4 linked regions of the Oryzias latipes genome follow. The protein of the gene in region 4 binds, or shares a complex with, the protein of the main gene of each other region. Links are inferred from orthologs where the notes say so. Each region holds a gene or a part of one and is shown on either strand. Other genes may lie near its edges. The genes, in order: gpaa1, pigu, pigs and pigt.

Region 1 (5,894 bases), on a different chromosome or scaffold from region 4:
AAGGTAGAAGAAGTAGGACTGGTGCAGCCGCTCCAGAAGGTTGTTCAGTTTCCGGTACATTCCTTCCAGCAACCTAAAACAGAAAACAGTCAGTCTGCATTCCTGCAGTTATTGGTGAATAAGCATTCAACTCATTGTAATTTCAGCCCTGCGCCCACCTGCCGATGGTGGTGGCGTCGGTTTTGTAGTGACGGAAGCTGTTGACGCCCTTAACGGTGGCGGCTTCGATGTGGTAGCGCAGGAACAGGCCGTGGTCGCCCCAGGGCCGCCCGCTGGCCTGCTTCATCACCATCAGCATCATGGTCTGCACCGCGTGGTTGTACCCCGACGCACTGTCCCAGTCGTTCCTCTGCAGCTGCAGACATAAGAAATTCTCAGCTTCCCTCCAAACATCAGTGAGGAGGGACATGCTCCTCCTAGAGGAACCGGCCTTACCTTCCCTTGGATCGTGCACAGGACTCCAATCTTTTGACAGAAGGCATAGAAGAGGTTTGCCAAGTCCAGGTTAGGGAGCTGCCCGTTGAGACCCTCCAGAACGATGTCCAAGCTGGTGACCACGTCACTGCTGAGCTCTAAAGACAGGGCGGCCTGGATCGAACCACCGCGCCCCTGCAGGGGAGACCAGTCCATGCCTACGCCGACAAATCAACAAGAACTTCTATGAGACCTAAAGCCTTGCTGTTTGAAACACAGGTCAGCGAGAAGGCGGCACAATTATGTTAAACAGTTCATTTAATTTTCTATTTTTGTGTTGCATTTGGGGCCTGTAAGGCATCCTGAGCGTCATGAAAGCACTACTGAAGTTACTTTATAGATAGCGCTCACCTGTGACATTGGTGTGATGGTATCCCTCCAGCCAGGCCTGCATCCCAATCAGATCATGCTCATTCACCAGAAAGATGATATCTTTGGCCCAGTAAACCTGATCTGTTAGAAAGAGGAGAAATTATTGAGAAGTTTCATCTCAGATGGAGGTCATTTAGACCAGAGTTTTTCAACCAGTGTGCCGTGGGAAATTACCCATTCACTCATCTAAAAACATTTACCATCTCCAGGATAGGTTTTATGTTAGGTTACATAAAATTGCATGTTAATAGACTGGAGGAAAAAACAACTACCAGGGAAAAATGTCAAATAATTTAGTTGAAAATTATTACTGAAAGCTAACTTAACTTTTATTACATCTTTTAGAAAAAAACAGCAGCAACTTCCAGCTTTTTCTGCCACACATATCACAAAAATGCATGCGAGATTGCAGAGGGACTGTACATCTATATATGTTTCTCCTTTTTTCATTTTTGGATGCTGGTGTGCTGCGGGATTTTTGTCCAGAATAAAGTGTGCCTTGGCTCAAAAAGGTTGAAAAACACTGATTTAGACAAAAAAGAGCGACTCTTTCGTCTGATCTGTGTCGATGAAGTACTCACTCCGGAAGTAATGGGCCAAACCGAGCAGCAGTCCCACAGCCTGGTTGTTGTTATCACCTGGAGTGCAGGGAGCACTGAGCACCAGCGCTTCGGTCCGCGGAGCTCGAGGTGCTCGGAGAATCCCATAAACATTTGTACCTTTTACAACCTGCAAGGAAGAAAAAAAAAAGACATATATACTCAGAAAATGGGTATGTTGTCATCTGAACACTAAAAACACAACCAAACTGGAAGATTTAAACATAAATTCAACAGAAACGTACGTATCTTTCAGTGTTTTCATCGGGAAAAGGCAGCGTGCGAGAGAAGCTCTGCGTGAAAACCTCCAGCCCTCGAGCCTGCATGGTTTTCACCAGCCAGTCCACCGGCATCCCACTGACGAGAAGCCAAGAGGAACAGCTTAGTTAAGCTTAAGGGGAGATTTTGTAGGGGGAAAAAAACTCATTTCTGTATTGATACAATCATTTTACCCGACTTTCTTCTTGTGAGCAGCAAACTCTCGGCCTGTAGCCAGCGCTCTCTCGCCTGCAGGGAAGCGCTCCTCCACCATGGTGGATCCCATGGCGTTCTCTGACATGTAGGTCCGCAGGGTGAACGGCTCAAACGCCAGACCCATGAACCAAGCAACACCCGCAAAGTAGCAGACGAAGCTGACGAGGACAGGCGTGGAGAATTTAAAACATTCTAACACTCAGTATGAGAGGAGCAATGGAAAAATAACACAACTCACCAGATTGGAGCATTGAGGCGGGTCAGCAGTTTGATCAAAGCCTGCCTTCTATTGGGGTCAGACAGCAGCCCCATGTCGTCTCGTTATCCTGGATATGTGGATCTACTGGAACCAGAAGGCAGAAAAGGTACAGACCACTAACAGACAGACCTCCAGACCTTGATAATGCAAATGAAGAGCTCTCAAATGATGAACACAAAGGCCGTTCAAAGGGTTTCAAGAAATGCAAGAGCTTTGATAATACAGGGAAGATTCAAGAATCAAAATAATAAGTTAAAATCCCAAATTATATTCATTTCATCTGTGCCACATGTTAACAATTATTGCGTATTTGACAATAAATAGATCTGATAGGTGTTTAAGTGGCTATACATACAGTTTTGTTCACCTTTCAGCAAATTTCTTCAAGGGTCGCCACAGCAAAACAGCTTGTGCTGTTTTCACAGAGGTGGTTTGGGCGGATTTTTACGCGACACAACCTATATTTAACCAGGCTAGGGACAGTGACAGGGGGACCCGTTGGGCTGCCTCTGTGGCTACATAGTTAGGCAGTAGCAGAGGCTATAAATCGAAATCCATTCCTTTTTCTGACTTTTAGCCAGCATAAAAACCTGAGAACCGCAGTGATGTGGTCGGTTCTCCTGGCTCTGACAGCAAAGTTCTGAATGAGCTGCAGCTTTGTTGTCTTTACTTATTTTTCAAGAGGAGCATGTTTCAGTCATCCAGCCTGCACGAAATGAAAACTCTAAAATCTGGACATGGGATCTCCGAATCTCAATATTTGATTGATTATGTAGATATTATTTAGTTGTGGTCTTAATCTGAAATCTGATATGACTTTATGATGATGATTTCTAACTTAACTATTACTGTTTTTTCCTATAGGAGAAACAGCCCTTCAGTCATATTTCATTAGACGTCACTTTTAGCTCGGAACCAGACATTGAAGAAAGCTACTTTAGACAGAGGAGCATGTTGGGATTCACTCTCACTAACTCCTGCACTGATTTTTGGACGAATCCATGAGCTTGTACCACCACGCAGAGAAAAATACAACCGTTTTAGAATCATTTAGACTTTTTTTTAGCTGGTGTGGTCGTGATAAAAATAATTATAACTACAAATATTAACATAATGTCTTCTGACTCTCGTCGTTTCATTCAACTTCATGAATGATGGTTAGCTTAATGCTGCTAGCTTCGACAGAACAGCATCGTTAGTATTTAAAAATATATACCATCCGTCAAAAGTGTAAACGTTGTTTATAAATGTGATATATTTAAGACGTAAAAAAATGTACCTCAAACCTAGTCACACTTGCAGAGGCGACGCTTCCACACCAGGGCTGCTGAAGTATTTTGTTTCCTTGTTCCCGCGGGAACGTTAATTCTGTGGACCAACTTCCGGTCTGAAAAATGCATATCCGGTCAAAAATGAAATACATCTCTATTTATCAAAATATTCCAGAGGTGGTGTAAAATGTGATTATTTAAACTTAGTCACGCATCTTTTTGTAATAATCAGTGAAAATGTACTTTAATATGCAATAATTCTAATAAAGATTTATGTAAGAAAAGTTACTTTAAAAAGTAAGTTACATTAATACCAATTTTGTTTCAGCAGGTAAAGAAAATGATAGATTATTCAGCCTCAACGGACTGAAACTCTTACAAAACATGTATTGTATTGTGACATAAAAATTACTTTTACAACAAACAAAAGCAAAAGCAGAATAGCCTGTCTGCAAAACAAATCAAAGAAAATTAATCTAAAAAAAAAAGACTAAACACATGAACAGAGCATTTCATTCAGGAATAAAAAGTATTGTTTTGGTGAAAATTTGTAAGATATCAACACAGCTAAATAAATTGGATATAAGAATTATCTAATTTTTCACAAATTGTTTACTCTTACGGATGTGTGGTTTAAAATAAAGGTTCTTATTGTATCAGTCTGAAAACAAAGCTTTATTATCTGTTTATATATAAAATGCTGATGTTGCTGTTTCAGTTGATCACATTGATTTTTGCATCAAAAACAGGTCAGTTTTCAGCTAATAAAACAAATGCAAATACAAAGAAACGATATACATTCACATTTATTCTTTATGCACAAATATACTTAATAAAATGTTAAGAATGACGACAAAATAAGTGTTGATCCCAGGAAACCATTTGTTTACTCTTTCCTTCACCATTATTCTCTGAGCGTAGAACCTTCTTGGAGATGTTGCCTGACCACCTGGTCCAGGACTTTGCTCACACCTTTACAAGCGGTCATTGCCGCCTCAATCAGAGTGTCGAGGTGATCCTGATGCAGTCTGGCATCCATCTGGACCAGAGCGATCTGCCCTCCGCGGGGCAGAAGCGCCAAAGCCAGAGAGCTCACTCCTCCGCTCTCCTCTGCGTAGCAAAGATCGGCAAGAGAGGTTTCATCCACGAAGCCCACTGTGCAGGCGCACACATAGTCCCTCATCGGTATCCCTGCGTCGATCACTGCCAGTGTGGCGGCGTTCACACAAACGCTGTAGTTCCCCCCGTCGGACTGAAGAATCTTGAATGATGAAAACGTTCTTAAAACAATGACGAAAACAGATGCTATGAAGTAGAGCGCAGTATACTATAAATCTAAGGCCAACCTTGACATAGATGTCTATCTGGGAGCGTGGGTAGAGCTGGGTCAGCACGGCAGCTTCAAACGTTTGCTTGAGGTGAAGGCTCATTTCTGTGGACTTGCGGTCTCCGTGCGGTCTCCTCTTCCTCTCCGCCGTGCTGAAGGTGGCCATGCTGTACTGGCAGTTGATAATGGCTCTGTCATGAAGAGCCCGACTACGAGCACCTCGAATCTGAATGGGAAACAGGAAGTAAGCATAGGAGAACCATAAAAAAGGTCTGACATTTTTCACAGGGCGGCATACATCTGTCCTTTGAGTAAAACAGCTTTTTAATCCATCATCAGAGGTAAACCAGACAATAAAAACGCCAGACATGGGAGAGTTTGAGGTCAACGGCACAGATGAGCAAAAACAACATCTCAGGTTTTCCATCAGAAATATCGATGTTCTACAAGATTTAGGAAAGACTTTCAGGACAGAAAAGATAACCGTGAAACATTTTGGGTGATGTGCCTCGCATCACTCTAGTGTAAAACATTGCACAAACAGTCAAACATGGTGGTAATGGTGTCATGGTAAGGGGCTGTTATATTTGGGGCTTGGAATACTTTTGGTAAATGAATAAATTAACCAACAAATCCTCAAATTAACTTGGATTTCTCAGCAAGTCAAAGATTCAAAAGCAGTAAGTTTACCTCAGAATAGCATAACAAGTTCAAAAACTCTTGAATGCAGTTGTTAGTAAGTACTGTGTGACCGAGCCAGATAAGTAAACATTTTGTGTTACTGATACAATAAAATGCTTTGAAGGAAACGTATTATACTAAAATCATTACATTAATGTAAAATATCCCTTTAAATCTGACACATTACATAGAAATATCTTAATCCTTCATTAAACGCAGTTTGCACCGTTTCTTTGGCTGCCATGAACAGACTGGTGGTGTTGTTTTTACGTCACTTCTCCACGCGCGCGCGCCACTCACTTCATGCGGGCCGTAAACCACCGCCAGAGCTTTGGTGTTTCCTTGCTCCAGATACGCGGAACCGTCGGCCTGAGCGAACACCCCCATGCGGGCCTGGACTTTGCGCAGCTCGGTAGCTTTTCTTCCATCCAACCGGT
Region 2 (5,946 bases), on a different chromosome or scaffold from region 4:
GGAGTGAGTGTGGCGTCTGAATTGTTTTCAAAATTCAGGGCACCTCCTCGTTTTTTAGTAGTTAGGGCGGGAATTTGGACACTTTCTCTGTGGAGCTAGCGGTGATCGGCTAAACGCTTTCCTTCTCTAGGCACAATACACACATCCGTCTTTGTACGGCGGTGTTTGTTTTCGTGGGAAAATCGCAGACACGCTGCAGAGGCCGGCTCTAGGATGATGTCATGAAATGGGCGGAACCCACAAAGAGAGAAAGGCGGAGCCCCAAAGATCCAGTCGTCTTACTTCTGGGTAGGAAAAATTAATATTTAATAAAAAGTTTGTTATTTAGCGGGAACATATTATAGATGAATGAATATAGTTTACTATGAAAAGCTTGCGAAAAGTATAATATAGGCCCTTTAAAATATTCTCACGTCCTCATGAATATAGAATCTGCTGGCCCCTTTCTCAGCTGAACCTGACAGCGCCCCCCTCAGGCCGCTCCTTACCTGCGCCACGTTGAACAGCAGCGTTATGGCGTAGTAGAAGTTGGAGTTGGCGCTGCCGGCGTAGATCCAGAGGTGCCAGAGGACCGGGAACAGCGCCGAGCAGGCCAGCAGGACGCAGGACACCAGGAAGATGTTCCTCAGGACTGGAGAACAGAAACCTTTGAGAAACCTCGGCGCCGCCAGAGAACGCCAGAACCTGGAGCACACACTCACAGCGGTGCAGGTGACTCCAGAGCGGGAGGAAGGCCATGTAGAGGGCGACGTCCCCCACGGTGGGGTAGGATTTAAAGATGGAGATCACGGCTAGCTGCATGAAGATCAGGAACACGGGATGCTCCCTGCAGCAGAAGCATGAAGGCAGGCAGACACGCTGAAGAACCGGAGCAGAGAAAAGCTCTGCAGCGACCGCATCAGACCCACTTACTTGAGTTTGATGGACAGAGGGATGGTATAGAAGAAGACGTTGATCTGGAAGACGCAGAGGAAGAAGAGGCGGAAATGTTCAAACATTTCGGCAAAGAAATACCAGAAGAGGCCGATGTTGGGGGTCAGGTCAGGAACGGAGAGGCTGCAGGGAAACCAGCAGGAAACATCCATCACACGGGGGAGAAACCATCTCTAAAACCCTTCACTCCTCCTCATCCTCACTCACATGAAGCCGTAGACGGACGGCATGTAGTCCCAGGAGCCCAGCAGGAAGAAGGACAGGCAGACCAGGACGAACAGGCTGCCCAGGTACATGAAGAGGTATTGAACCACAAACCACCAGAAGCTGACGCGCCGGAGGTTGACCGGGATGTACTGACGCTGCAGGAGCAGACGCAGGGAGACGGGAGTCAGAGACCAGGAGAGCGCCGGGACGCTCCCGTCACTGGGAGGAGACGCACCTGCATCAGGTAGAGCATTGCAGGAGCGCACAGGGTCAGAGGGTAGACGGACTGATAGGTGGCCAGACACAGGAAGATGGCGCTCAGCAGCACGTTTCCTGAAACGCAGAGAAGGTCAGAGGTCCAGGCGCCAAACAAGGGGTCCAGCCGGAGTCTGAGGGCCGACCTTTGACCGTGCAGAGGATGAAGAGAGAGATGACCATGTTGTTCAGGCCGCAGGTGGACTTGGCGACGCAGGACAAGATGGTGAACGGGTTCAGCAGGTAACTGCGGGAGAAGAAGAGCTGAAGCTTCTGCTGGTTCCGCCCAGAGAGCGGAGGGGGGCGGAGCTCTGAGGAGGACTCACAACATGGCCACTTTCAGGGGGACGTAGTGCATCTCTAAGGGGGTCCTGATGAGCTCCAGACAGTCCGGGGGGTAGCGGTCCGCCTCCAACGCAAACTTCTGTTTTCTGAACTGTAAAAACACGACAGAGTCTGGGTGAGAGCAGATCTACGTGCAGAGGTTCTGCAGCTTTCTCACCACTTGTTTGTTGTAATCCTTGGCTGCTGCGTACAGCGCCGCGGCCGTCACCACGTCTGCCAGCTGAGGACACAAAGCAGAGCTCCACACATCCGCCACAAACCTCCTGACGTCCAGAACCTCCTTTAGGGACTCACCATGAAGGTGATCTCTGCATAATCCACCAGGAAGTGGAAGAGGTAGATGATGAGCGGAGTCTGCGGACAAACACATGTGGTGAGGTCCGGCCTGAGCGTCCGCCGTTTCCCACGTTCAGGTCGGACGAAGGTGTCACCTTCAGGTGTTTTGGTTTGTGACTCACCTCGTGGAAAACATCTCCAGAGTACGGAGACACTCCCAGGTCAAGCAGAGCCAGACCCTCGATCACTGCAACACAACCACACCACAACAGAGTCCTCAGTCTGAGGCGGTAGGTTCATGATCAGGAAGATTCATCAGAAAAGGATCCAAACCTCAGAACCCACAAAACATTTAGACTATTGTCTGTTTGAGCAGCAGGCTCCGCCTCCAACCTCCTGAACGGTTGACGTCCCCGTCCTTTTGTAAAGTCAGACCGCATCCACAGCACACTAGGAATGCTACCCTCTCTGCCTGCTAAATACGTCCCGTTGGCTGCTGTGACTGAATATTATGGTCTGTTTTCTGCCGTGCTGAGTTCACAGATCAGATTTGGTTAAATGTTCCACATTTCCTCTCGTCGTGAATCAGGGAAAACCTGTTTAGAGCTGCAGAGATGCATCAGAAAAACGAAGCGTTCTGGTGGCATTTTTCTGATGATGGGGACAAATATGAAGAAAATGAAGCTTCAAGTTGCATTTCTGAGTTTTTCTTTATTCAAATCGTTGTGAATGAGGAGCAGACGAAACTATGCCGTTTGAAAAACATCCTATTTGTGATGTCGACAAAAAATATCCTGGGCGGGGCCACAAACTCCCAGCTCCGCCCCTTTCTGATGCATCCACCTGCAGACAGGTAGAGAGACCCATGAACGTCTTTGTCTTCCTGCAATCTGGATCAGAACTGAGCGGCTGGACAGCTGCGCTAATGTTAGCGGGAGAGCGTGGAAACAGAGAGCTCTCAGCAAAGGGGAGGGCAAGGGGGGCGGGGTTGCTCCATGCCAACAGGCAACTCAGAGGAGAGGTGGATTTCTACTGAACTCCAGCTGCTCTGCAGAAACTATGTCCTAGAAAAAGACAGGATTTTGGGCTAAAAACGGCATCATCATCAGAAACAAACGACCGGGAACAATCTGACAACAGATCAGATGATCAGGAACATGGATGAACCCAAACATGTTCTTCATCCATCAGAACCTGCAGGACAACCCAACAGCTCCTCTGCAGAACCTCCTGTCGTTACTTTGACTGAAGTCACTTTCAGTTAATGAAGGCGTTACAGCTCTGACAGTGTCATATTCAAATGTAATAGATTACTTGTACGAGTAACAATCGATGATAATAATCAGAGATGAGTTCCTTCAGTTCGGGGTTTTTTTGGGGACCAAAAATCGGATCAGAGTCCGAGTCTGACACCGTTTCACCTTCGTCGACCATTCTCCAAACATTTACAGATTTCTTTTGTGACAGATTTTGTCGCCGAACCGGTTTACCGGCGCAGCGGGGAGGCGCGCGGGTGCGAGGCGTGTGTGACCGGTGCGCTCCGGACCCCCGCCGGCGGCCCGCTCACCTCTTTTCCAGGCAGTAATCGGTGACACCACCTCCACCCTCTCTGAAATCAGCTCCGCCAAACTGGACCGGAATAGAACGGCACGGACCGTCACGGCGACAATCATTAGGAGCGTCAAGGGAGCCGCCATCTTCGCGAGGAAGCTCTCTCGCCCTGCGCTCGAGGTGCATGCTGGGAAGTCAAGTTTATTCCGTCTCGTCAGGAAAACATTTACCTCCAACCTCCACAGATTTACAGTCCAAGCAGCGATAAGGAGCGAGTTTAATAATAATAATAATAATAATAATAATAATAATAATAATAATAATAATAATAATAATAAAGGAACATATTTACAAAAAGACTATTTAAAACGCATAATTCAAGCAATTAAAATCAAGATTAGAATTTTGTTTTAATCAAATATTGTATTTAATTTTATGTGTAAAGGTAAATAAACACATTTTAAACAACTTGAAAAGGAGTTTAATCTCAACAGAGGAGTTTTCATATGATCTTGTTGTTAGTTCTAATTTTGCATATGCTGAATATACATAAAGACGCTGTAATTTTAAACAATAATATAGCACATATTACAGGCGTTTTTCTTTAATCACCCCGGAATGCGGAATGTTTTGTCATTTGCGTGTTTTCAGTCGAAAGATTTATGTGACGGATCAAAACAAAACTGCAACTCGCCGTCTAGTTGGAATAAACTATTTTACTGTTTCCGGGGGCGTATTTAAAAATAAAATAAAATTAACGCTTTTGTGGGCCTGTGTTAGCGTCACGTTGAAGTAGATTATCGTTGTTCGTTTTAAAAATATCTGATTACTAAATTGTGACTGTATCACGTCTACAATACTATTTTAGCGTGTCGTATGTGTTTTCTGCAATCCTCTAAAAGCCACGTGCTTTTACTTTGAAAATCCCTGCAGGAAGTCGCTGTGGTTGTTATGGAAGCGACGACTCTGCGATTTTTGTTTTCTGTTCTTGTTCTGTGCTGTTGGTTTGTGAGACAACATGGCAGGCTTGGAGGTGTTGTACACCTGCGTCACAGGTAGCCTGACTTGTCCTCAGGACGCCCTCGTGTGTTTCGTTCACTGGGAAATGATCAAGGGAGGATACCGGTGCATCGGTTCCGGAGACGAGGTGGGTCGAACTAGCTAACTTAAGCAGAACCAGAAGAGACAAACCAACAACACATTCTGGTTTTATTTAAACACATTTAAGATACGAGACGAACCAAGTTAATGCTGTTTGTTTACTTTTAGATCGTAGTTTGTTGACAGCCTCTGAAGTCCCTCTGAGTTACAGTTTTGATTTAAACTCTCAGTCTGTGGGAATAAATGTTAGCTTTGCTACATTAGCAGGAGGATCAGGATGGAAACTGAAACTGTCCTGCAGGCGATTCAGAGGAAACCTCCGCTGAGTTGGTTCTTCTTCCTCCATCTAGGTGACCTTTGACCTCCTAAAGTTCTGCATTGAGTCATGTTTTAGTCCGATTTTTAGTCTCGTGCAGTTGGCACGCGCCATTTGGTCTCATACTAAACAAATGGACTTTCCGCAAAAAGTGTCACGTCATCTTTAGCGCGGGGGGGGGGGCACAGAAGCGTTTGAAAGAGAGGGTGTCTCACCCCCCCCCCCCGCCCCCGTCCCTCCCCCCAGCCCCGCAGCGGTGACCGGAAGTCGGAGCTCCTGCCTGCAGACTGGAGCAGCAACAAGGAGCTGTACAGTCTCCGCTACGAAGGCGCGGACGCAAAGATGCTGCTGAAAGCCGTCCCCGTGGACTCTGCTGTGATATTCAACCTGATGGTAGGCATGGGGGGGGGTCCTTCAGGACATGAGGGGGTGGGCACTCTGCTGGAATGAGGGAGAACGAAGCATTAAATGCAAAAAGTCTGCAGCGAACCTCACATCTGAGACGACAGAGAAACAAATCTGAAATTTAAAAACACAGAGGCCGCTTTTAGGTTTCATGGCAACATTTGGCTCGTTTTAGAACATCAGACGTGTTTTGATGATGTAGGGAGCACACAAAGGCGTTATTTATCATCTCAGAACTGTTGAAAGGTGAAGATTTAGTGGAATAGCTTCAAATTAAAAAAATAGAGAGCAGTCAGAGATTTTAACAAAGGTTTTCTGAATGAAGATCAGATGGCTTTAGGTTTGAACTTTGATGGTTTTCTTTTATTTTGATTTCCCAGCAGAAGTTCTGAAAAGGTCTTCAAAAAGAAACTTAAACTAGAAGGAGCTGCATTTCTAGAAGAAAATGCCGGTTAAATGCTGTACTGCTGAATGAAAATGAAACTTAAAGGGGAATAACGGGCAAAAAATAAAGAAATGATCAAAGTTGACCATAAATAAAGTGAAAACAGCACAAT
Region 3 (6,018 bases), on a different chromosome or scaffold from region 4:
GACCACAAGCTCCCTGCTCTGCTCCATTCTGATGCGTTCACTTGCAGAAAAACAGATCCGTGTACGTCTTCGCTGGATAGCTCCGATGTTTTTGTAGAGGGGCTGTAAGCTACTGGTAGAGTGTGTAAACAGAGAGCTCTCAGCATTTGGGGAGGGGAAGAGAGGGTGGAGTTGATCTGCCCTAACGGTACAGATTCAGGGGTGAGTTTTAATGAAGCACTGATGCTCTGCAGAAACTGTCTTAGAATCCAACAGTTTAAAAAAAAAAAACGTGGCTAAAAATTGCACAAATCATAATTAAAAGACCACTGGGAACATTTTATTTGTTATAGAGGTTATTTGCTCTAACATCCTAATTTTCAGCTTACATAGAAGCTGCCGTAAAACTTTCTATGGTCTGGTTTTCACTACAGTTTCTCTCACAGTTGAAATAATAAAAGCTAAAGTAATTTAGGGCTTAAAAAAAGGGCCAAGTTCACCCCCCTTCCTGCAGAAGCACATATGAATAAACAACACAGACAAAGAAATGTTTTTACAGCTGAGGATGCCGTCTACCTGCTGGGCAATGTTGTCGTTTATGACAATGTTTCCAATCTGGTCCAAGAGCTGCGCTAGAGAAGTGATGGTTGTGGTCGCCGTAGCAATATTTTCCACACTCCGACTCCACATGAGACGGTCCAGCTCCCAGTCAGCCAGTCCTACGCTGCCGCACGGAGCCACCAAGAAGCCTGGGGGAGGAGGGGAGGACTCCATGCCCACCAACAGCCTAAAACGACACGTTAATGGGACGTTTCTAGTGTGAAGCAGAGAAAGACGATTTGCTCCAGAGGAAAAAACTTTTTTACCGAAGTTGCGTCAGGAAAACCCCCATGACTTCAGCCATGTTTATGTTGATGTTGACAGGAAACTCAGCCTCTGGTCCATAGAGATTTTTAACATTATACACCTAAAGAAACAGTAGTAGGTGAAAGTAAGTAAGGCTCCAAAAATATGCCATTTATTGCAAGATATGTCAAGTCCCAGAGGAATAAGATTGAACACATTTAGCAAAAAAGAGCACAGATACAAAGGTCTGATTCCATGTTGTTGGATTTGTTTCCATGTGACGAGTTGAGATGTATATTATCGATGTAAATAGCTCTAATTAGAAGTTAAGAACCAGATTATGATAACAATGTGAAACAATACATAGTTAACTAAAGCTTAAAAGTGTTTTTTAAGCAATTAAATTAAGTCTTTGACAAATGTTCACATTTAATGGATTACATGTGTTATATTCTGTATGTCTAAGTGCAAATATGTCTACTTATGAATAATAGTAATTATAATGGCATAGTTTATACCCACATATACTTAAAAATATATATATACCGGTATATTGTTCCAATTTTACTCCACAAGAGAACATTTTGGCTGCATAAATTATATAACACAAAGTAAAGTAAGAAAAAAAATGTACCATCCTGTTAAAGACCCACTTTAGAGAAATTTAAGCTTAGAATTGCATTTCTTCATTCAAATCGTTGTAAATTAGTAGCAGGCAAAAAAAAAAAAGAGCCTTTTTTGACGTAAAATATATGATGAGACAAGCTCCTTGTGTCCTCGAAAACAATCGTTTTATTTTATTTTATTTGGAGTTAAAAACACTCAATTATATTTAAAAGACCACTGGGAAGGCTTTTAAAATATCTCAAAAGATGATCAGAGTGAGTCTTTAACATCATCCAAAGATCAGTCTTCTTACCATAATCCCCCCCCAACGCGGAGAGTGAAATGCATTCGAAGGAACATCCATTTTCTTGTGGTCCTGAATGTAAAGTGGTGAATGCTGGGCGTCTGGCACATACAGAAGAAAATTCAGCACCGGGTTGGAGGAGGCAGCATTGGAACCTGGAGTTGAATGAGACTAACGTAAGAAAAAACGGCTCCCCTTTTTTCCATTGTATTCTATCGCCAGTATTTGCAAGTAACAACAGTTTTACCAAGTCTGGCCTCCACTGGGTTGATGACATGAGCAAGGCTGTCGGCGTGAAGTATGAAGGCGCCGCGGTCGTTGTTATAGCGCGGGTTGACACCCAGCATGGCGTAGTGTAGCATCTGTTAAAAGCAAATGAAGAACAAAGCTGCAGGGTGACTTTTCATGATGACTCTGAACTTTGAAACGTGTGCAGTGCTGCCTCTCGTACCTGAGAGTCTATGCTGAAGTTGGCCAAAGGAGAAAGTTTGGTAAGAAAAGGCTGGATGTAAGTCTGAACAGCACCTTCTATGTCCCAATGGAGCCTGTGTGACCTTGGGTCAGGGTTCAACAGACTGAAAGTTATCTCATAACCTAAAAAAGGTAAGGACAAGCACAGAATATAAGCGGAAAAAGGACTGCAAAGAAATGTTACCAAACCATAGATAAAAACCAACCTGGACTGAATGTAAAGGCTCTCATACTATGAGTCATACTTTCTTTGCTGCCAGGGTTGAAACGGACTCGATCACTGAGGGCAGCTGTGATGTCCGTGTGACTAAAAGACATCACCTGAAGCACCTGCTTGATTTGAGGCTTCAGGACATCCAGTAGCTGCTCTACCGTCTTTCCTGCTCTCATCTCAGCATTGATGCGTAGGATGGCCGTCCGGCGTTGACCAATATACACTTTGACATTCTAAAGAGGATTTTAAAAAGTTTTCTTTACAATCAAGAGACTAAAATGACTGAAAGCTATGAGTTTAAAAAAAAAAAATCACTATTACAATAGAAGTATGAACAGCTTTTACCTCTGGTAGCAGCGAGGAGACCTCAGGAATCACATACACCACTGAAGAACCACACGGACTTTCACTGAGCATGTGCAGAGATAGATCCGCCTCTGGAAAAGGACACAGATACAGACAGAAGTAACTATACATGAGGTTTCACTGACACAACACACTATTTGGTAGGTAGTTCACCTGCAGCGGTGGGCTTGCCCAGAGCCTCCTCTTCCATAATTGTAGCTGTTTGGTACTTTATTTCATGAGTATACCTCAAAACTGTGTTCTCTAGAAATGGGAGAAACCGTTATTCATGCTGGTATGGACTGCATGACCTCAAAATCCAGGATTCTAAAGTGCGTCACCATCCACTGCATGCTCCTCATCCTGCGTCTGGGTCAGGGGGAGCCTCTTCTGCTGCTCAGGTGTCAGGGTGCCCCGTGCAAACACAACTTCAACATCAGCACTTAAATGCAGCTGCAAGGAGAGATAAAGACTATTCCAACACACAAACGCAAAAGGAAGATACGTTAACCGGGGAGTTTGGTGATATCCCGGAACAGAGACAGACCTGCAGTTTAGAGAGGTCTTTTATCTGGCTGAAAGGTAACCAGGCGCGGTAGGTTTCAGTCGTTCGCCACCACAAGGGGACCCCAACGACGATGACCACGGCGGCGATAGACAGGGCAGCAAGCTGACCTCGTCTGCGCTCTGAGAGAAATGCCAGAAGTACATTGTTGTTGCTAATTGTTCAACATAAGACAAATGTCTTTGGTTACAAAAAACAACTTATATTTGATTTATATTTCACTAAACAGCTTGCTTAAAAAACTGCTATTGTTCGTCATTTTGCATCTAAATAGAAGGACAGTTAAGTTCAAATAAAATAAAAATTTATGAAACTTTCTTCCAAATTCTAAATAAATCAATCAAATATGTAACTGTTTTTAATGGTTAAATTAAACGGCCAAATAATCCTGATACCTATATCCGGGGAGATATTAAAGTCATTGTTGACATTTCAGATGATTTAAAATGTTAGAAGACAAAGATATAAGAATAAAACTGTTTGGTTGCACTTGTCTTGAGCAGGCAGTATGTAGCTAATTAGCTGTTAGCATCAGAGCGTCATAACAAGACAAAAATGACCAACAACTACATCATCTATTATTGTCTCAACATGAACATTTACAACATAGTACATTTAATTCCACAAACGTTCACATTAAAAACTCATAGAAAGAAACCGAGCAATGAATTCACTCACCCACTTCCGTGGTGGCCATTTCTGTCAATGAAAGTAGTGCGCTCGTTGACACGACAGACGTAGCCACGTGTGTCACGTGACAGCTGAAACAAAATGCGTATAAAGCAAAAGTCTAGATATTACTGATATGTAGCTACAGTTTCTTTAAGAGTAACACAATGTTCTAATACGCCATTGTTATAATGGTCTAATGAAAACCCTGGTAAAATTCAATTTCAGATAAAATGACTGTCACCGCCGGCTCCCCGGGTGTTATTTTTTAACGTACTTAAAAAAAACAGTTTCTCAACAGCGCCTCCTGTGGTGATAGGCTGACCTATCCAATTGATCCCAGAGATTTCTTCCTCTTTTGAACAAATATATTCTTGCGGGATTCTGTTTCTAGTAGAAGTATATTAAGTGTAATTTATGCTGCTATGAATGACACGGCAAGAACAAGTCATTTTAAATCTTACATAAATTTATTTAAATTTCACTTAAACTCTTTCTGACTGAAACTGAATTTTCGTCCATTATAATCTTATGGATGATTTTTCTAAATGACAAGGCAGCTAGTAATGTGACAAAATATTGTACCAACAGAATAACCCAGACAGGGGTTTATAAATGTACAAGAGCATATTAATTTAAATACTGAAGGTAATAAAAGTAAAAAAACATGAACTTTAAAAACATTTACTTGCTCCAAAAAAATAAAAATAAGGCAAAAGAGGCCACAGTCAAACCAGAGGGGATCGAACACAAAAATGGAGTCTCCATCAGGTTTAATGTGTATTTTAGTTTATTATCTCCACTACATGACACAGCGTGTTTCAAGAACAATATTAACATCACAAACAGTATTTCAACAAAGCAGTGAATGTTTCTGTGCTGCTGGTCCCACATGTTGGTCCTTTTATTCATTTATTTTTAACATACATTTCAATAGACTTCCTCTGATCTTCCTAAGGGGCCAGCAGGGAAAAGCAGGACAGGGGGCAGAGGTGACACATGCATCACACAATATTGACACCTTCACATAACAAAACACATCAATTACTGCGTGACTCTGAGAGCTAATGTTATACAGAAAAGACACAAATGATGGTTTTAGTTCATGTATTAAGGTCCAGAAGGAACACAAGAAAAGAGTGGGGTGAAAGCCGGTGTGGAGCGGGTTTTTACAGTACCGTGTGATCTCTGCTGGGACCGTCTATCAGAAGGATAACCCAGTTCAGATCTTTCACCGTTCTCGTCGCCATACTGTGCTTTAACTGATGCCTACGTATTAGTTGGTCCCACTGTCAATGTGGATGTTGGTATGAGCCTATACGGTTTCAAACGGGAAGCGCAACACTAACACTCATGCAGATTTTAGCCTGCTCGGGGGCTCGCAGGGAGAAGGCACCTGACATGGAGGCAGGCGCATTTTCAAAGCGGCAAGAAACCAATACTGACCGATGATCTTCATCACATTCTGGAGCCTCTGGCTTCCGCTTTTCAGCCTCATCAGAGACACAAGCGTAACATTTCAAATTTGCCCCAAAACTGTCACAAACTGTTCGAAGAAGGGAAAAAAACTATAAGCCTGTTCCCTTTGAAATTTTAACATCACATTCTTTTAAAATACATTTATCTAACAATGTATATAACTCTGATATTAATAGAGAGCGCAGGCCTGTGGTCGATGTAGGAGTGAGAAGGGACAGAAGAGCAGATTTAAGACTAAGACTAGACCACGGCTGAATGTGGTCGTTCTATGTTTAGTAGGCGTGGTTCGCCACATAGAGAGACTGCGAGGCGGCGCTGCCGGATCCAGATGATGCGTACTTGCCAAGAGCCGCCAGGCCATTCGCCTGGAAAGGAAAAAACAAAAAAAGATTTTAGGGATGGAAAGACTTTTACTGTGCTTGGATGTGCATGCTTGATTTCAAAGAACGACCCGTGTTGTTTTCGAGGACATAGTTTCTGCAGAGCGGCAGGAGTTCATTTTAAGTTTGCTTCTAAATTGAGGGCGGGTCAATTGTGCCA
Region 4 (4,803 bases):
TTGTCTAGAATTTTTCCCCCAAGAGAACAAGTGATAAAAAGACCAAACTAAACTTAGGACTTACAAGCTGCTGAAAAGCGGTTGTTCCATAGTGATGTTGGTTTCCATGGCAACAGTACTTGGTACTAAAGAACTGATAACTGAAGATCTAAATGCAGAAAAATCTAACTTTAGTTTTCAAAACCAACCTTGAATGATAACTCCTAACATTTAAATCATCTGTTCAATGAGTCGTCAGCAAAACCCAAACATACCCCACATAGAAGCCGTGGTTAGGATCGGGTGTGTATTCGGTCCATTTCAGCAGAGCCCTTTCAAACTGCACGGTAACCTCGGTAACAGAATGTGGAGGAAGCTGGAGCAGCATCTCTAACAGGTGGGGTCGCTCACGGTCCTTAGACGGCTGGTAGTGAATGTAACCTGACAGGAAAAGAAATGCAGGTGGCCCCTCATCATTAGCTACTACGTTCAGGGTAAAATAATGAAAATGATGTAGTGCTGGTTTAAAAATAACATTTAAAGTATAGTTTGTAAAATAAATAACCAAAAAAAAGATACTGACAGATGCTCAAGAATGTGCCAAAACTAATTGGACTAAAAATGCTTGATTTAACATCTCCCCCTTGTGGTGAAAAAGGAAAGTGCAAGACGTATTGATTTTTCATCCCCTTCACCTCTATCAGCATTCTGTGCGACCCTGAAGTTGCTGTTAAAAGCAGTAAAATGTTGCTTAACCTACTAAAGAATGATGACTGGATAATATCTGTATTTATTAGGGATCAACAGAACAAGTAGTAAACCAACAGAATTGGAAATGCCATAAAATAAACTTTATTGTAGGTATGCTGATCTTCTTCCTCTTTTGGCTTCTCCCATCAGGGGTCGCCACAGCGAACAAGTCGCATGGTATATTTGGCAATGTTTTACGCCGGATGCCCTTCCTGACGCAACCTTCTCAAACCGGGCTTGGAACCGGCACAAAGGTAGAGAAGGGAACAGGGAGCAGCCCGGAGTCGAACCCTGGTTTCACGGATGGAAGGCGCCGCAAACCAGCACGAGCTATGCTGATGCTGAAACTATTTTAGAACAAAATAACCAAAACTGGAATGTCAACAGATCAAAAACCCAATGTGATGCAAAACTGACCACACTTTGTAAAGAAATATATTGCTATGAACTCATTTACGTTGTTTTCAATAAGCTGTTTAATAACCCCACTTTCTATTGGATGTTGCTTTTCTTCTGCTTTTCTGCGAAATGCAGACTGTAGGAACCAAAATGTAGTTTTGTTGCACATTTCCTCATTTCCTTTGTAGTTTGGATGGTTTACCTCTACAGTTTGTTAGTGACACCTGGGTGAAAAGTTTGTTAAGTGCCCGCTCACCTGCATTCGAGATTGAGAAGAAGAGATTTGTTTCCTATTTTGAGGCAACTTTGTCGCTACAGTTTTCTTCACATTCACCTTTTTAAATTAAGTTCATTCACTCAAAGCAAAGCTGTAACTTTCTCCGAGTGTTTTTTTGTGCAGTAAACATGCAAAACATGGGAATGAAGCGCGTCTTACACAAACTGAACCCCATTGGCTCCTCAGGCTTCAACAGGAAAGTCGCTTTAACACAGATGAGTCTCAGTCACCAGTAGGTTCTGCCTGCGTTCTGCCTGGGCTGCATTTGAAGGCTGCTTACGTCACAGCGCCGCGACAAGTGCTGTCCAAATTCAACGACTCCTTCAAAGGCAGCAGACCTCTTTTTCCCGATTTCAAGGATTGGGATTGGTCTGGTGTATCCTTCTGTGCTGTCCATATCCCAAGATGCATTGCAGCCGAACCCGGAGATTTTCTGACAACAATGGTGGAATGTGAAGCGGGACCCAGAGTTGAGAATAATTACACCTTTTTATATGTTCACCTCCAAGATTAAAAGTTGGATCAAATAAGCCAGAAAATTTTGAGCTCCTCGCTTGGTTCACTACTCCTCTCTGTTCGGGACACAAGGTTGCTAGGCGACAGGACATGCGCTGATGTAACGGCTGTAATCATCTAAAGGTTAGACTCAGCAAGATTCACAGCTGTTAACATCCGACCTACCCGCTCGACGAAGGAACCGCCCAACGCCGCCCGTGAAGGCGGTGGCCATTGAAGGATGCAGCCCTCGAGTTTGGAAACAAATTTCAAAAGTACACACTGTTTGGTAATCGCGACTTTAATCCGTGTTTGAAAGCTGGTAGCTTCATAGTTACTTAACTTTGTCATCTTTTGATAAACGTCCCAAACAAAATTGTGGTTTGTCTGTAAATGTGAGACACAAACGTCCCAGCGTTAAAAAGCAAAGAAACTCACTGGGGTTGTTGTCCTTCCCTTTGCTGATGACTTTGAGTGTGTGGATGTAGAGGCGCAGATACCAAGGCACGGAGTCCAGCAGCAGCACCGGGAAGGACCTGAACGGGTGGTTGTTGTACATCAGGGTATGAATCTCTCCTGTCTGCAGACCGTATCCAGCCACGTAACGCTCAGCGTGAAGCAGTGGGCGGAGCATGTCACCTGCAGGGACAAGGCAAGATGAGCTCATATTTAGATACAAATATATCCTCTTTGTGTTTTATCATTTCTGAGCACAAAACAAGTAAAGAGCCAAAGCAGGGATGCTTTTTCTGCTTTCAAATCCTGGCTAAAGCTGAAGAAACATGGATTAAGCGTCTTCATTCACCCTCTAGACCAGGGGTCCCCAAATCCAGGCCTCGAGGGCCGGTGTCCTACATGTTTTCCAACCAACCTGCCATTGAAGCTCCTAGTTGGCCAAACACACCTGATCAAGGTAATCAGCAGCAAATAAGATAGGGTTTCAGGAAAACCAGCAGGACACCGGCCCTCGAGGCCTGGATTTGGGGACCCCTGCTCTAGACAATCACCTTCACTGGATTTCCAACGAATCATCAGGTTGAGGGAGCGCACAGTGCCAAAGGTGACTTGTTGGGTCAGATCGTAGACGGAAAAAGTGCGTCTGTCCCCGAGCACCACCGCCTGGCTCAGCAGAGGAGTGGCTGGACTCAGCTCGAACTGCTCCTCCTGCAAAATGCATCGTCTCCAGTCACATATCATCACAACAACTTTATCTTGAAACTGAAATATCACTGCGGTAAATCCTTTTCCAACTGCTGGTTTTCTGGATTGTGAAAGGGTGAAAGATTAGAATGAACGGTCAGACCTGAGGGTTGTCTGTGACGTCGATGTATATTTTACTGGAAGAAGCCAGCGGACATGCTTCCGTCAGCGTCCGAGAGAACATCTTGAACAGAGACCACTCTACATGCAGAAGCAGCTGGAGTTAGTAAAGACCACCAGGGTGCTAGCTGGAGTCTAAGGAAGGCCTCTGCTCACCACGCTTGCTCTGTCCAGAGGTGTGCAGGTCAAAGACTACGTTCAGCGCCTGCCGCAGCTCCCAAGAAGAAGACTTACACTGCCGGTCCTGACACACTGGTCTTATGTGCACAGACTGGGAATGAAAACTGCTGTGGAAGAGCTTCTCTGACTTCAACAGGACGGCAAGACCGGCCTGTGAAGACGAAACAAGAACTCAGTTATTTATTAAAAAATACAACTTTAAACTAAAAATAAAATAACTGCTGACTCTTTGAACACACGGCCTGCAGACAGACATAGAAATTCACCTTGGATCCACACGGCAGGAGTTTCTTCCAGGGGGTTAAATTCTCAGTGCAGACAATTTCCCGTGGAAGGGTGGCGTAGCGGAGAAAGCGGTGGTCTGTCTCTTTAAGGATTTAGACAGCAATCGTAAAATAGTGAACATAAATAGTAAACAAAATGAGGAAGACTTGATCAGCAATTTCAGACATGTCTTTACTTTACAAGCAGTGTTATGGTATGTGTGCAATTTCCGTAAAACCCTGTGAGCATCAGAATGACTACAAAACATTTCTTGGGTTTGTGTGTGGGGTGTCTTTTCTCCTGCAAAAACAAGTTAAAAAACATTTGTGTTATTGTGATGCTTTACAGGCAGGAATGGATGGATAAAGGCTTTCAGACCAAACAAGCAGAAAAAGTACATTTAAGCCTAATGCAGCAAAACATCTTGTAGAAACGTATTTTTAGACAATAATAACTTGTCCATAGAAAGTTCCACTCCAAACATCTTGTGATAAAATTTCAAAAGGTTACTGGTGGAATTTAAATTGCAATTATGCATTTTAAGACAAAATCCAAAAACCTGTGTTGTCTTTTAGGACAGTTTCAAAAATGTATCCGAAATTTGCCTCAGAGTTGTGGGAGGGACCGTTCCCCCGTTGCAGAGCAGGGAGCTCATGGCCCACCCAGCTTACTTTCTATGTAGCAAATGAACTCTCTTTCCAACTGAATGTTTTCATCTACTCCTGATAATTTGAATCAAGAAATACTCAGAAAGAAAATTTTAAGCTTAATTTTCTTAATATGTGTCATTAATCACCTGAAAAATGCCACAAGAATGTGTTAAAATCACCAAAAAACAGAGTTTTCATCAGAGTGGTTCTTTAAATGAAAAATATTAAAATAGATGTTGTCCAGTCAAACAATTTTAACGGTTTTTGAAGTCTGAAGTTGATCCCACTGAAAAGCTGTGGTGACATCTGAAAAATGTTTTAGCAGCATTTTTTTTCTCCCATTCTCCTCTTTCTCACTGACACAGCTGCTTATCTTATTCATGTTCTGCAAAAAGCTTCTGCCATGTTAGCATGGAGACGCCACTAATGCCTTGCATCACATCATCAGCTTTTACACATGACTACAGCGCAAGGCAAAATGCCAAAGGA

Evidence for each region.
Region 1: the proteins of pigt (region 4) and gpaa1 are in contact, whole or in part, in a cryo-EM structure (PDB 7W72), measured with the Homo sapiens proteins. The link is inferred for Oryzias latipes from reciprocal best matches to the Homo sapiens genes PIGT and GPAA1. Residues at the interface, in NP_057021.2 of Homo sapiens: Gln91, Gly92, Phe93, Arg95, Arg97, Tyr98, Ser108, Phe211, His212, Thr213, Ser214, Asp247, Phe249, Ile250, Arg340, Gln355, Tyr357, Val358, Ser359, Gly360, Tyr361, Gly362, Leu363, Leu371, Tyr373, Lys441, Asp459, Pro460, Asn461, His462; in NP_003792.1 of Homo sapiens: Arg97, Ser98, Val99, Gly100, Glu102, Tyr104, Arg134, Ala135, Pro136, Arg137, Ala138, Ala139, Ser140, Thr141, Glu142, Arg171, Gly172, Gln173, Ile174, Tyr199, His200, Asp201, Val202, Leu212, Gln213, Gly214, Arg215, Ala218, Arg311, Tyr312.
Region 2: the proteins of pigt (region 4) and pigu are in contact, whole or in part, in a cryo-EM structure (PDB 8IMX), measured with the Homo sapiens proteins. The link is inferred for Oryzias latipes from reciprocal best matches to the Homo sapiens genes PIGT and PIGU. Residues at the interface, in NP_057021.2 of Homo sapiens: Tyr361, Gly362, Leu363, Gln364, Lys365, Arg394, Leu395, Tyr396, Val397, His398, Tyr416, Pro418, Ala419, Gln420, Asp421, Arg422, Gln445, Glu447, Leu450, Leu451, Lys452, Trp453, Thr454, Pro518, Thr519, Pro520, Asp521, Phe522, Ser523, Met524; in NP_536724.1 of Homo sapiens: Glu30, Lys42, Arg43, Val45, Glu46, Ser49, Leu50, Leu53, Val55, Ser59, Gly60, Ala61, Val62, Pro265, Asp266, Leu267, Pro269, Leu273, Trp275, Tyr276, Phe277, Phe278, Ala279, Glu280, Met281, Phe282, Glu283, Phe289, Phe293, Asn296.
Region 3: the proteins of pigt (region 4) and pigs are in contact, whole or in part, in a cryo-EM structure (PDB 8IMY), measured with the Homo sapiens proteins. The link is inferred for Oryzias latipes from reciprocal best matches to the Homo sapiens genes PIGT and PIGS. Residues at the interface, in NP_057021.2 of Homo sapiens: Pro26, Arg27, Val63, Ser64, His65, Tyr66, Arg67, Lys71, Gln75, Lys79, Tyr80, Val133, Gly136, Lys191, Leu193, Pro194, Cys195, Ser196, Lys198, Ala199, Glu270, Pro271, Pro273, Leu274, Tyr526, Ile529, Cys530, Cys533, Val536, Ala537; in NP_149975.1 of Homo sapiens: Thr9, Glu12, Val13, Gly16, Ala19, Ala20, Phe23, Thr230, Pro238, Lys239, Tyr244, Ile247, Glu248, Val251, Gln256, Val270, Asp271, Ser272, Gln273, Ile274, Tyr276, Tyr277, Met279, Ser309, Arg310, Ser313, Ser314, Ala315, Ala316, Phe513.

The regions. Positions count from the first base shown.
Region 1 is NC_019875.2:26,756,251-26,762,144, forward strand, and holds the start of gpaa1 (glycosylphosphatidylinositol anchor attachment 1 protein), read right to left. Parts: upstream 3,582-5,894; 5' UTR 3,458-3,581; intron 2,263-3,457; 5' UTR 2,232-2,262; coding exon 2,158-2,231; intron 2,078-2,157; coding exon 1,898-2,077; intron 1,803-1,897; coding exon 1,691-1,802; intron 1,576-1,690; coding exon 1,428-1,575; intron 928-1,427; coding exon 826-927; intron 633-825; coding exon 436-632; intron 356-435; coding exon 159-355; intron 74-158; coding exon 1-73. Other genes in the region: exosc4 (exosome complex component RRP41), read right to left, coding at 4,354-4,710, 4,796-5,002, 5,758-5,894. UniProt on the Homo sapiens protein: Component of the glycosylphosphatidylinositol-anchor (GPI-anchor) transamidase (GPI-T) complex that catalyzes the formation of the linkage between a proprotein and a GPI-anchor and participates in GPI anchored protein biosynthesis. Binds GPI-anchor.
Region 2 is NC_019863.2:32,754,099-32,760,044, forward strand, and holds the start of pigu (phosphatidylinositol glycan anchor biosynthesis class U protein), read right to left. Parts: upstream 3,760-5,946; 5' UTR 3,714-3,759; coding exon 3,584-3,713; intron 2,264-3,583; coding exon 2,199-2,263; intron 2,095-2,198; coding exon 2,035-2,094; intron 1,961-2,034; coding exon 1,898-1,960; intron 1,832-1,897; coding exon 1,722-1,831; intron 1,643-1,721; coding exon 1,542-1,642; intron 1,474-1,541; coding exon 1,376-1,473; intron 1,296-1,375; coding exon 1,141-1,295; intron 1,057-1,140; coding exon 913-1,056; intron 827-912; coding exon 702-826; intron 632-701; coding exon 489-631; intron 1-488. Other genes in the region: psmf1 (proteasome inhibitor PI31 subunit), read left to right, coding at 4,586-4,714, 5,231-5,377. UniProt on the Homo sapiens protein: Component of the glycosylphosphatidylinositol-anchor (GPI-anchor) transamidase (GPI-T) complex that catalyzes the formation of the linkage between a proprotein and a GPI-anchor and participates in GPI anchored protein biosynthesis.
Region 3 is NC_019872.2:12,612,122-12,618,139, forward strand, and holds the start of pigs (GPI transamidase component PIG-S), read right to left. Parts: upstream 4,141-6,018; 5' UTR 4,028-4,140; coding exon 4,009-4,027; intron 3,453-4,008; coding exon 3,313-3,452; intron 3,219-3,312; coding exon 3,107-3,218; intron 3,030-3,106; coding exon 2,940-3,029; intron 2,858-2,939; coding exon 2,766-2,857; intron 2,654-2,765; coding exon 2,413-2,653; intron 2,330-2,412; coding exon 2,187-2,329; intron 2,098-2,186; coding exon 1,983-2,097; intron 1,891-1,982; coding exon 1,745-1,890; intron 947-1,744; coding exon 846-946; intron 767-845; coding exon 556-766; intron 1-555. Other genes in the region: aldoc (fructose-bisphosphate aldolase C), read right to left, coding at 5,751-5,843. UniProt on the Homo sapiens protein: Component of the glycosylphosphatidylinositol-anchor (GPI-anchor) transamidase (GPI-T) complex that catalyzes the formation of the linkage between a proprotein and a GPI-anchor and participates in GPI anchored protein biosynthesis.
Region 4 is NC_019865.2:9,036,726-9,041,528, forward strand, and holds part of pigt (GPI transamidase component PIG-T), read right to left. Parts: intron 3,768-4,803; coding exon 3,667-3,767; intron 3,552-3,666; coding exon 3,377-3,551; intron 3,302-3,376; coding exon 3,204-3,301; intron 3,065-3,203; coding exon 2,908-3,064; intron 2,540-2,907; coding exon 2,339-2,539; intron 421-2,338; coding exon 255-420; intron 149-254; coding exon 65-148; intron 1-64. UniProt on the Homo sapiens protein: Component of the glycosylphosphatidylinositol-anchor (GPI-anchor) transamidase (GPI-T) complex that catalyzes the formation of the linkage between a proprotein and a GPI-anchor and participates in GPI anchored protein biosynthesis.